3 linked regions of the Nothobranchius furzeri genome follow. The protein of the gene in region 1 interacts with the protein of each later gene in a biochemical or structural test. Links are inferred from orthologs where the notes say so. Each region holds a gene or a part of one and is shown on either strand. Other genes may lie near its edges.

Region 1 (3,657 bases):
CTGTATAATGTGAAGTTCCTAAAGTTTCTGCCTTAAAAACCACTGAAACCACTTTCAAAGCAGTAGCATTAAGTGTTAAAACTTTTTAGCATTTCTTTAGAAACAACTTGTTGCCTTCAGGTGTAAATTGTTTAGCTGCGAAACCTTTGATCATTATTATTGTTTGTGCAGAGATTCACAAATGAAGATCACTTGGCAGTCCACAAACACAAACACGAGATGACACTGAAGTTTGGCCCAGCAAGAAATGACAACATTATTATTGCTGGTAAGCATTTAGGTTGGATTTATTGCATTTGATTATATTTCAGCATCAATTTTAGTGACTAAAACTTTTTTCTCCATTGCAGACCAAACTCCTACACCTACTCGCTTTTTGAAGAACTGCGAGGAAGTTGGGCTCTTCATTGAACTCGCAAGTCCCTTTGATCATGACTTCAAAAAAGCAGCTGAAGATGACACGAAAAAGGTTGGTCTTTGTTGGGAAACATGTTTTCAGATGATCTGAAAGCTGTCAGTTTGCTCTTTTTCTGATAATCTCTGGGGTATTTTTGGCCAGTTACCCCTGGATTTGTCACCTCTTGCTACACCTGTCATACGCAACAAAATCGAGGAACCAACGACTATAGAGACACATAGAAATAGTCCTCTGCCCCACCCTGAGTCGACTACAAATGATGACAAGGTAAGAGCTTTATTTTAGCCAAGCCTGGTGTTTTATTGTTGGTGATTACACAGATGTCATTTGTAGGTCTTATTTCTAAAGCTAAACTTGTCTTATTCTCTAGCTGAAACATTAACCATAGAAATGATCATTTCTACTCCTAACCTTGCGGCATGTATGACGTAGCAACAACATATTAGGTGAATAATTACGTGATCTGATGGCATTGAAACGCTCCTGCAGCTAAGGTCTTGTATGATGTTTTCAGGATTTATCTTTGCAGCCAGCCTCACTGCCAACATCCACTATAGTCCATCCTGCGTCCCTCCAAGTCCCCAATGTACTTCTAGCCACCACAGAGGCTAATGTTGTAATACAGCAGGCTCTCCCATCGCCAACATCTAGCTCTGTTATTTCCCAAGTCCCACCCACTAATAGACCTATAGTGTAAGTAACTGAATGGTCCATTTAAAAAGTACATATAGTTTTTCACAAGATCATGGTGTCTTTTTCCAAATCTTGTTTTGTGCACTTCTGTTGTGGTGAGTTTGTATTTCATGGGGCATGCGCTTGTTTGTTTTTTCATTTATTTGCAGTTTTCAGGATTTTTTTTTCCCCGTTTCACACAATATTCTATGAAATCAGTGTTGCTCATTAAAATGTAGTGTTCGGTTTTGAGTTTAAAAAATGGGATTTTTATGTTTTTTCTGTCAGTGCTCATTTATTTACCTTATACCATTGAGCAGTATCACTTTTAGCTTCCTCAGTTGTTTATAAATTTATTTACTTTCTAATATTCACAGAAAACTGTTGTTTATAAGTGCACCTTATTGATAAAATTGTATGTTTGTTGGAAAACAATTAAAGCAGCACATTTACACAAGATTTTCTTGGTTATAATTGAAAAACAGACATTTAGCATTTTTATAATTTGCATTTAGGATTGTTGACTGTATTTATTTTGCTTTAAATAACACAGTGAATTTAGAAACCAATATCAAAACCATTTAATTAAGTATAATAGCATATTCTACAGTTGACATCATGGTGCAAGTGCGACTGGGTGCTAGTGAAAGAAAGAAATTATTTTTTCTATAGCACCTCTCAAGATCAAAATCATGAGGTGCTTCACAAAAACAAAAAAATTAAAATATAAAACATTTTTAAAAAATGATTAAAAATATGTTTTAAATTAGCAAAAATAGACAATTGTGATTAAAAAATGCAAAGAGGGAGAGCGTGAATGTGAAAGAGGGAAATCAGTGAATCCCGGGGAAGGCGGAATAGGTGGGGAGAGCAGAATAAGGAGAGGGTGATGATGAAGGTCACATCAAAGCCAGCCTGAACAGGTGAGTTTTCAGCTGCTTTTTAAAGGAGTCCACTGAGTCCACTGATCTCAGGCTCAGGGGGAAAGAGTTCCCGAGTCTGGGGGCCACAGAAGCAAATGATCTGTCACCTCTGGCTTTAGCCTGGTGCGCTACACAACCAGTAGTGCTACTGGGTGCAAGTGCTACTGCTTTGCTTTGTCTGTCTTTAGCTCAGCCCGCTTCCCTTTCCAGCTGTTTCATGTTGTCGTAGACCTTAACTAGGTTTGGAAAACGAATAAACAAAATAAGAATCCGCACACTTCAATCTGCGATGTAGGAGTTTATTGGTCAAGCTTTTGGTCAGAGACCTTCATCAGGAATTGTGCTGACCGAAGGTCTCTGACCGAAAGCTTGACCAATAAACTCCTACATCGCAGATTGAAGTGTGCAGATTCTTATTTTGTTTATTCCACTTTTTGATCCAGCACCTCTCCCAGACGAGCGGTGACTCCTTCTACTCTATTTGGAAAACGAATAAAAAAATCTCCCTTCCAACATCCGATCTGGCTATCTAGAGACCAAATAGCACTCCCACCAACAGCGGTGCTTGGTCACTTCCTGTTTAAATATCTTCTGAAGACAAAAATATCACTTTGAGAGGAGTGATGCGACTCAGACCCATAGGCACCCATGCAAAATACACGCTTGCGTGTCTAGGGCTAAATGCCACAATGCATTGCAACATTATGTCACAATCTATTTCTAGCTACCGTAGAAAATGCTATTTTGAACATTGCATATTTACATAACGCTAGTGTACATTTACATTTGAAAAGCTTAACTAAAGTTGTATTTCACAAATTACAATAGCTTTTTAACTTTGATACTACACTGTATTATGAGCAATACTGATGTCACTGATCAGTCATGTTCAACTTGTATGTTGTCCAATGTTTTCATTTATTCTGTTTTTAGTTGGGTATTTTTTTACGCTTTTCTCTTGATCAGTTCAGTTGTCATCTGAAAACAACATAACGATCCTGTACAAGTATTTCTGTTTGTCTTTAGGATAACTACGTTTTCTTTTCAACTAGTTTTCTGTTTTACTTTTGTCTCTTTTGCAGCCCGATTTCTGGCACCTTTCCTGTGCTTTTACAGCTCCCTAATGGCCAGACCATGCCAGTCGCTATACCTGCATCTATTACAAGCGCAAGTGTACATATTCCAGCTACAATCCCAGTAAGTATATTGTATGAAATGTTCTGTTGACCTGTAGTAACAAGTAAATTTGATGACCAATGATCAGAATTTAGATTTTAGATAATTTTTTTCAGAACACCTATTTAATGAACAAGTTATAGCGTCATTAACAAAGATATGATCATTTTGTTGCCATATTTCATTTGGTAGCTAATTTTGTGATCCCCATCTTTACCGTAGTTGTAATAAGTCAGTAGGACCGTTTCCCTTATTAGAACTTCCAGGTGATTGGCTCTTTAAGGAATTTGCCATTATCTGCGTATTATGATTATTTCTGATTAGAGTTAGGGCTGGGCGATATGGCAAAAATAGAATATCACAATTTTTCCAATATTTTATCACGATTTCGATTTTGTCACGATTTTTTATCCATGAATAGCATAACTTCAATTGCGTATTAAAGAAGAGAAACATTGAATAAATAAA
Region 2 (3,295 bases), on another chromosome or scaffold:
TCAGGCTTTGAAAAAATTAGCGTATTATGTAGGTTCTGAAAATCTTTTTCAAGTGATGAAATTGTCGTTTAAGCTATCGTTTTGGTTTGCAGGATACATCAAAGAAGTTATACACCTTTTTTAACATAACGATTTTATTTTGATGACGGAAAGCATCACTTCCGCTTAGTGTCAGTTTGTGATTTACCTTGGTTGGTAAAAGTTCAGTTGCCCAGAACCTGCCCCTTTTGACGTCATTAGACAACGATTTTCGCGCGCAGGCGACCTAACGGGAGGTTCATCTCAAATTGTCCTTAGCTCTCATCCTATTGTCATTTAGCTCGGTTCTCCTTCAAGACCCTTATGAGTTAGTCTATTTAAAAATGTACTCTGAAGGATTTTATTAATCTAAAACAACTTATATGAGGATACTCACTCTTGTGCCATCTGTAAAAGCATTTGAACGTTTGATGGCAGCTTGATGCATTAATCCCTCAAGTAAATCATTTGAAAAGTAGTAGCTGCTGGTTGCCTACCTTCTGGGGCCTCTGAAGCAACCATAGACAAAACCAAGTCATGCAAATTATGCTCAGTATTTGCACCACAAGGCTGAGGTTGACTTAATAAGGTACACATGTAAGTTATCATACAAAAACAACACCACACAAATTGTATCACATTGTTTAATTGTAAACCTGTTTTACAGTAAACCCTACAGGAAACCTGTTAGCTTTTAGTGACAAATACTTTGCAACACTGAAAGGGAATGTGTAACAATCTACACTCAGGAAATTATTCCACAATACATAAAAAGAAGAGAGCAGTTTTAAAATAAAGCACAATTCTTAACATTGATTAAAAATCTAAATAAAGCAAAAGTGGAGGAAATAGTGTGGGTGTGGAATAAACAAGGGCACAGTCGCCTGTATGCTGTGAAAGTTGGGCCGCCAGGAAGTGGATTGAATTCATCAGATCAAGGAGTCATAGTCAGAGTGTTTTTCCTCTTGGAGTCTCTCCGTGGGAATGGCACAAAGCTTTTTACCTCTTTGAAACATAACCCTATGGGAAAAGAGCAGAGTTAGGTTACCATGTGTGAAGCATATTTATAGAATATTTTTTCTACCATTTCCTTTTATTAAAGGTAGGGTAGATGATCCTAGAAAAGTCATTCAAGCAAGCTAAATTTTTAAAATACACGCTTCAAATGTTTATCCCCCTTTATTCAGGCTCCCTTGAGCCATGCCTGCAGAATACAGGAGAATACCGGACTCAACGGATACTGTCAAACAACTATAACAAAACATTATCTTTTCTTTTAAACTCATTGTTGGCACATTTTCTGCCATAATTCCTAACGTAACACACCTACTTAATAGCAGTGAAGCCTCTGTTGTTGCTCATGAGTTCTCTAGACTCTGTCTGCACTGAAAGTTGAAGAGAGGGAAGCCTGGCACATTGATCCAGTGAGATGTACTGGGCTTATTACACTATACCACTTCTGCTCAGGCTAAATAAACGTAAAACAATTTAGTATGCTAACTAATATAGCTAGCCGAGATTTGGCTTGACTTGCTGTTCAGCTGCTCCGAACTGAGAATGCACGATTCGTGCACAAAGAGGGATATGTGGAGAGGGAGGGAGAGATGGTCAGAGGGCAATTTGATGGAAGGATAAGGATCCAATCTTTAACAACGAGATGTTCACAATGAGTGGACAAGTTTTTCCAGGATTGTACATTTCAAAGCGATTAAACTATTCTGTTTGTTTGAGTAAACATTTAATTCAATGGTTGCCATCAGTAGGTGAAGAGAATTTCAAGCAATATGACAGGAAATGCTCCATCAAAACACCTCCTCAGGATCTACTGATTTCCCTCTTTCCTATTCACTCTCTCTTTCTTAACATTTTTCTTTTAAATCCCAATTGCCTATTTTTCCTCATTTTATTTTTAAACATCTTCTAAATGCTTTTTTATATTTTTTAATTTTTTTTTGTTTTTGTGAAGCGCCTCGTGATTTTTATCTTGAGAGGTGCTATAGAAATGATACTTTCTTCTTCTTCATCTCCTTCAAAAAACAAAGCAGAAATCTGGAGTTTTTATCTGACAGCACCATCTAAAGGCAGAAAAGTGCATTGCACCTTAAGCCGTTCTCCCCACTTCTGTATTTACGGCCAAAAGCAATGCCTCTTGCTAAAACATGCTGTTTTACAAATATTAGTCTCACATTGTGCTGTTTGTTCATATATAAATATATTTTAAAGAATTACTTGTCCTAAGAAAAGTTGCCAACTCTGTATCATTTTAGGTATTTCCACTCTGTGACTGACATAGTAAGTAGGCAGATGTCTGATGCTATTGGCGAATGCTGCATGGCACCCAGTTCAAAGTGCATGGGGCTCTACAGGACTGGGATGGGCATAGCAATAAATTTTTTTGACATACTGCCTACATTATATCACAATACAGGGTAAGACTATTGCTTTTATAAATTTCTAAGAAATCATACCCAATTCGTGAAAGGGGGGAAACTCTGGATTTCTGATTTAATGTCAATTGTCATTATATTTGATGTTGCATTTAACATATTGAACACATGGACTGTTTTTCTACGAATGTTTGCTCATTTTATATTTTTTCTCACATACGTTTCCACTCATCCAGGGCCAGTGTTGCATTGTCATAGCTGTCATCATAAGGCTTAGGCTCAGGAAAGTCATCGGGGTCCCGTAAGCTGTCAAAGTACGGGTGCTCCAGAGCAAGTTCAGCAGTGGGCCTCTCATCTCCGTCCAGAACCAACATCTTTTCAAGCAGCTCGATGGCTGAAAGTATAACAGAAGATGCAGCCATTAAATCAAGCGTAAAATAAAATCTCAAAACCTAAAGCAATAAAAATTTAATTCATGTGCTCCACAAGGCAGGTTTTTATACCCATTACTAAAAGTAAAGATCACATTTATTAATGCTACAAATTACACTGAGAACAACAAACATATATACCCACCCCTTTCACTGGCTACAGGAAACAATGTTGAGAAGTCTTTTCTTGGGTAACGAGGAAGGGACTTTATATAAGTTTTAGCCTGTTTTGGAGCCAAAAGATAAACAGATTTGAAAATAAATAAAATGAGTTTTAATATATCGATAGGAGACAATGAAACAGTGGACAAAACAAATGAATCTCAAAAGAAGTCGCTTCCAGTGAATAAAAAAGTAGAACTCATTAACTTTGTGAGGACTTATCTGACCTCTTGGCTTTCCAGTTTCTGAATAAACTCTGGTCCAGGTACTCCAGTCACTTTCATGATTTGAGTCAGC
Region 3 (4,264 bases), on another chromosome or scaffold:
TGGAGTAGCTCTGTTGTTTTGCCTTTTCTTGGGCATTTTTTCTTCTAGTTTCTCAAGAAAAACTGTATTTTTTTTGGACACTTTACTTTTCTGTTTCTGGTGCTGTGAAGCTCGGAGGATTTTTACTGCTATTTTTTAGCTTTTCTCACTTTTTGAGCATTTGTTATGATGCATAACCATGGCAACAAGCTGGTTTACAATCGGGAGCAGCTGATTAACATTGGAAAGGCTGAAATATTACCTCAACTGACGCCACAAATCCCAAATGAGCTAAAACGCAAGAAGTGTGGATGCAGAGCAGGAGCAAAACGGAGACAGAGAAAGAGGAAATTCAAACCATCTCTTCCATTGATCATAATGATCAATGGAAGAGATGGCAATGTGAGATCACTGGCCAACAAGATGGAGGAACTTCAAGCCCTTTCAAGGACTCAGCCAGAGTTTTGGCAGTTCTGGAACCACTGGAGGAGATATTCTCCAGAGAATCAAGAAAATTATGGACAACCCTGAGCATTCTCTTCACAAGACTGTCCGACAACGGAAGAGTGTCTTCAGTCAGAGGCTTCTTCAGTTTCGCTGCAACACTGACCGCTACTGGAGATCCTTCCTGCCAACAGCCATTGTAATATACAATAACTCTTTGATGACTTGATTATTATTATTATTCTGAGCTACTACAGCAATCAATTTCCCTCTGGGATTAATAAAGTATTTTTGAATTGAATTGAATGATTTTAGTAAACCATGTGCCATTTATGTGAATATTTTGCAAAGTAATTTGCCAAAAACTACCTGACAACATTAAATAATAATTAGTTATTTGGTGTCAAGAAAGGGGTGGGATTAAATAAACTGATGCTTCTTCCTATTCCCTTTTGAACATGTGGAAAAAATGAGAAGGAGAAGTTGCTTATGTTGTGTGTATTACTATGTGTATGTACGCATGTTCAAAATAAAATAAAGACAAAAAATAAAAAATATATTGGTCCAAGCACTGAGCCCTGTGGTACTCCACAAGTAACTCTAAAGCTGGGGTATATAATTCCGGTTCTGGTGGGGTGGTATCCAGCATATTTTAGAGGTATTACATTATAATATAATGTAATATAATATAATATAATATAATATAATATAATATAATATAATATAATATGATATGATATAATATAATATAATATGACGAACGCAGTGCCTAATCTATTGTATAACCCCCCCCCCCCACCCCCCCCACCCCCCCACCCACACACACACACACACACACACACACACACACATTTATGAGTGGATGAGGACGTGGGGGTGGGGGGTGCTCTGGAGCAGCGACTGCGGAGGGGAGGAGGGGATTCTCACTGACTGGCCGGTGCGTCGGTACGAGCAGCAGCAGCAGGAGCCGCTCAGGTAGTCGGCGGCGGTCCATCCACAGATATCTGTCCTCCTTTTTTTTAATTTCTGTATCCGGATGTAAAAATGTCCGCCAGACCGGGATTTTATCGGCAGGAGCTGAACAAAACTGTGTGGGAGGTTCCGGAGCGGTACCAGAACCTGACGCCGGTGGGCTCTGGAGCTTACGGCTCGGTGTGGTGAGTGTTTGTGTAGATAAATTTGCGTGATAGTGTGTGTGAGGGAGTGTGCGTGTGTGCAGTGCGGGCGGAGGGGCGAGGCTGCACAGCTACACAAGCAAGCGGTAGCTCCTATAACGCAACAGTCATTGTATGGTGACCAATCCTCATTCTGAGACCGAGCATGGTCTCAGAATGAGGATTGTCTGGTATAAAGTGCGAATTTATTGTTGAATTAAAATTAAAAAATTGTAGTTTTCACTCTCCAAATATTTAACATTCCTACCAACATGTGTCAGTGTAGCTGATGTGATATGAACATTACTATGAAACACACATCATCAGTGAAGGGTTGTTTTGTCCCATCGATGTGTGCTGTTCATGATGGGATTTAAGGAATAAGACAGCGTCACTACTACCGGAATTTCAAAAGCGGAGCCCCCCAAACCTGTCCCCCACTTAACCCAAAAAACACCTGCCTCTTCTGTTCTCTACCTGCATCTTCACATGCATCCAGCAGCATCCTCATTTGTCTGCACAATGATATTTCTACGGCACTAATTCTTCTGCATGAAACTTGCAGTTTCTTGAAAATTAGTAAAATTCCCCATCACCTGGTTGGATGCAGTTGCCATGGTGATGTGTCAAAGTGACCATTGTTTCTGACAGTCAATACTAATTAGGCTATTATCAACCTAGCCAGATGGTTATCCAAGAAAGCAAAGAGGAGTCTGAATTATTTGAAAAATACAAAATTCAGGTTTTTGGAAGTGTTTTGAAACTGACAGAGAGAGCAGCTAAGACAGAAGTGAGTTAAACATCTTTACGCTTATGTTGATTGATGAGACCAGCAGAGTTTAACTTCAAGCTGAAAGACACAAACCTTCAGGCCTGCCTGACCATGCAAAAATTTAGGTAATCATTGTTTTAACCAAAGCTTTGTAAGGGTTAAGGCATCTCTTGTTCAAATCTCCTGTTAGCAAAGAAGTATCTCATTTGAGCTTCTACATTAAAATACCTCCTTTCTTACTTTTACTTTATTTAATCATTTTGTCAATTAAAGCTTTATTCTACTTCAAGGATTGTGTCAGATTAAATTTGAGACCTTTTAGCCACACCTAACAGTTGTATTTTCCTGCATGCTCACTAAGCAGTTTTCTTCCTAACAACTGACTTCCTGTCAGCATGACGTTTGTAAAAATCCAGTCTATTAATGTATGATCTGAACTCTACATTATGATTCGTGCTCTCACTGGAGGTGGAGGGTTACATTTTGCAGCTATAAATACAGCTCAGAGTAGCATCATATTGGAAATATGAGAACCTGAATCATAATTTCTTCAGCAGTTATAATAATTATCAGCATTCAAGAATTTGATCAAATTTTAAAATACAGATTTATGAGGCCTATTATTCTAACTTCAGAATACACTCTTGTTAGGGTTGTTGGAACAGAGCATGTTTGTTGACAGAGATGTTATATTTTCATTAACCCTGTAGAATTCCGAGATGCAAATGACATTAAAACATGTAGTGAAGTGTTAAAAAAATAAAGTTTTTTTCACAGTCCTCTGTGATTATAAGTTAAAATCCCATAGTCATCATCACACACTGGTGAAATTCATCTCTGCATTTGACTCATCCCCATGGAGGGGAGCGGTGAGCTTCAGCCACGCTCGGAAAAAATTTGGTGGTTTAATTCAATTCAATTCAAGTTTATTTATACAGCGCCAAATCACGACAAGAGTCGTCTCAAGGCACTTCACATAATAAAAATTCCAATTCAGGTCAGTTCATTAAGCCAATCAGAAATAATGTTTCCTATATAAGGAACCCAGCAGATTGCATCAAGTCACTAACTGGTGTCAGTGACTATACAGCAATCCTCATACCAAGCAAGCATAAAGCGAAAGTGGAGAGGAAAACTCCCTTTTAACAGGAAGAAACCTCCAGAGAATCCTGGCTCAGTATAAGCAGCCATCCTCCTCGACTCACTGGGGATCGAGAAGACAGAGCACACACACACACACACACACACACACACACACACACACACACACACACACACACACACACACACACACACACACACACACACACACACACACACACACACACACACACACTCACTCACTCACTCACTCACTCACACACACACACACACACACACACACACACACACACACACACACACACACAAGTAATGTGTCTACAGTTATATTGTGATGTCTTAGTAAATATTCTATTTGGTGAAAGATAAACTTTATTGTATTTATCCTAGTGGATCTATAAGTAAATGGATAAACTAGTATTAGCACATCAAAAGTCAAGGAAACCAAAAAGTTATTATCAGGAGAGAGAGAATGTTTAAGTGGTTAGCAGCAGTGTGCTAGTCGATGGCCCCCTCCATGAGGCCACCACAGCTCAGCAGAACGTCGTTGTCGCTTCTTCTGGGGAGAAAAACACTTACAGAGAAAATAAAGTTAACAGCTGAAATTGGACAAAATAGTACAGTTAAAGAGCAGACTGTAGAAGAAAGCAGTAGAGTGTGAGAAGTGGTCAGTGTATCCTCCAGCAGTCTAAGCCTATAGCAGCATAACTACAGAGATAACTCTGGATAATCTATCCTATTGTGGCAATACGGGAGTGGTCTATGACCTGTTGACGCCAAGTATGGCAATTGTATCTGCTCGAGTGCAATTTCG

Evidence for each region.
Region 2: of the proteins of atf2 (region 1) and mapk13, one has a biochemical effect on the other in vitro, tested with the Homo sapiens proteins (2 studies listed by BioGRID and IntAct). The link is inferred for Nothobranchius furzeri from reciprocal best matches to the Homo sapiens genes ATF2 and MAPK13.
Region 3: of the proteins of atf2 (region 1) and mapk11, one has a biochemical effect on the other in vitro, tested with the Homo sapiens proteins (4 studies listed by BioGRID and IntAct). The link is inferred for Nothobranchius furzeri from reciprocal best matches to the Homo sapiens genes ATF2 and MAPK11.

Annotation. Positions count from the first base shown.
Region 1 is NC_091754.1:21,236,114-21,239,770, reverse strand, and holds part of atf2 (cyclic AMP-dependent transcription factor ATF-2), read left to right. Parts: intron 1-171; coding exon 172-268; intron 269-350; coding exon 351-469; intron 470-559; coding exon 560-685; intron 686-932; coding exon 933-1,111; intron 1,112-3,095; coding exon 3,096-3,210; intron 3,211-3,657. UniProt on the Homo sapiens protein: Transcriptional activator which regulates the transcription of various genes, including those involved in anti-apoptosis, cell growth, and DNA damage response.
Region 2 is NC_091755.1:52,218,877-52,222,171, forward strand, and holds the end of mapk13 (mitogen-activated protein kinase 13), read right to left. Parts: coding exon 3,226-3,295; intron 3,061-3,225; coding exon 2,982-3,060; intron 2,800-2,981; coding exon 2,626-2,799; intron 1,039-2,625; coding exon 953-1,038; 3' UTR 649-952; downstream 1-648. UniProt on the Homo sapiens protein: Serine/threonine kinase which acts as an essential component of the MAP kinase signal transduction pathway.
Region 3 is NC_091741.1:56,926,534-56,930,797, forward strand, and holds the start of mapk11 (mitogen-activated protein kinase 11), read left to right. Parts: upstream 1-1,336; 5' UTR 1,337-1,467; coding exon 1,468-1,580; intron 1,581-4,264. UniProt on the Homo sapiens protein: Serine/threonine kinase which acts as an essential component of the MAP kinase signal transduction pathway.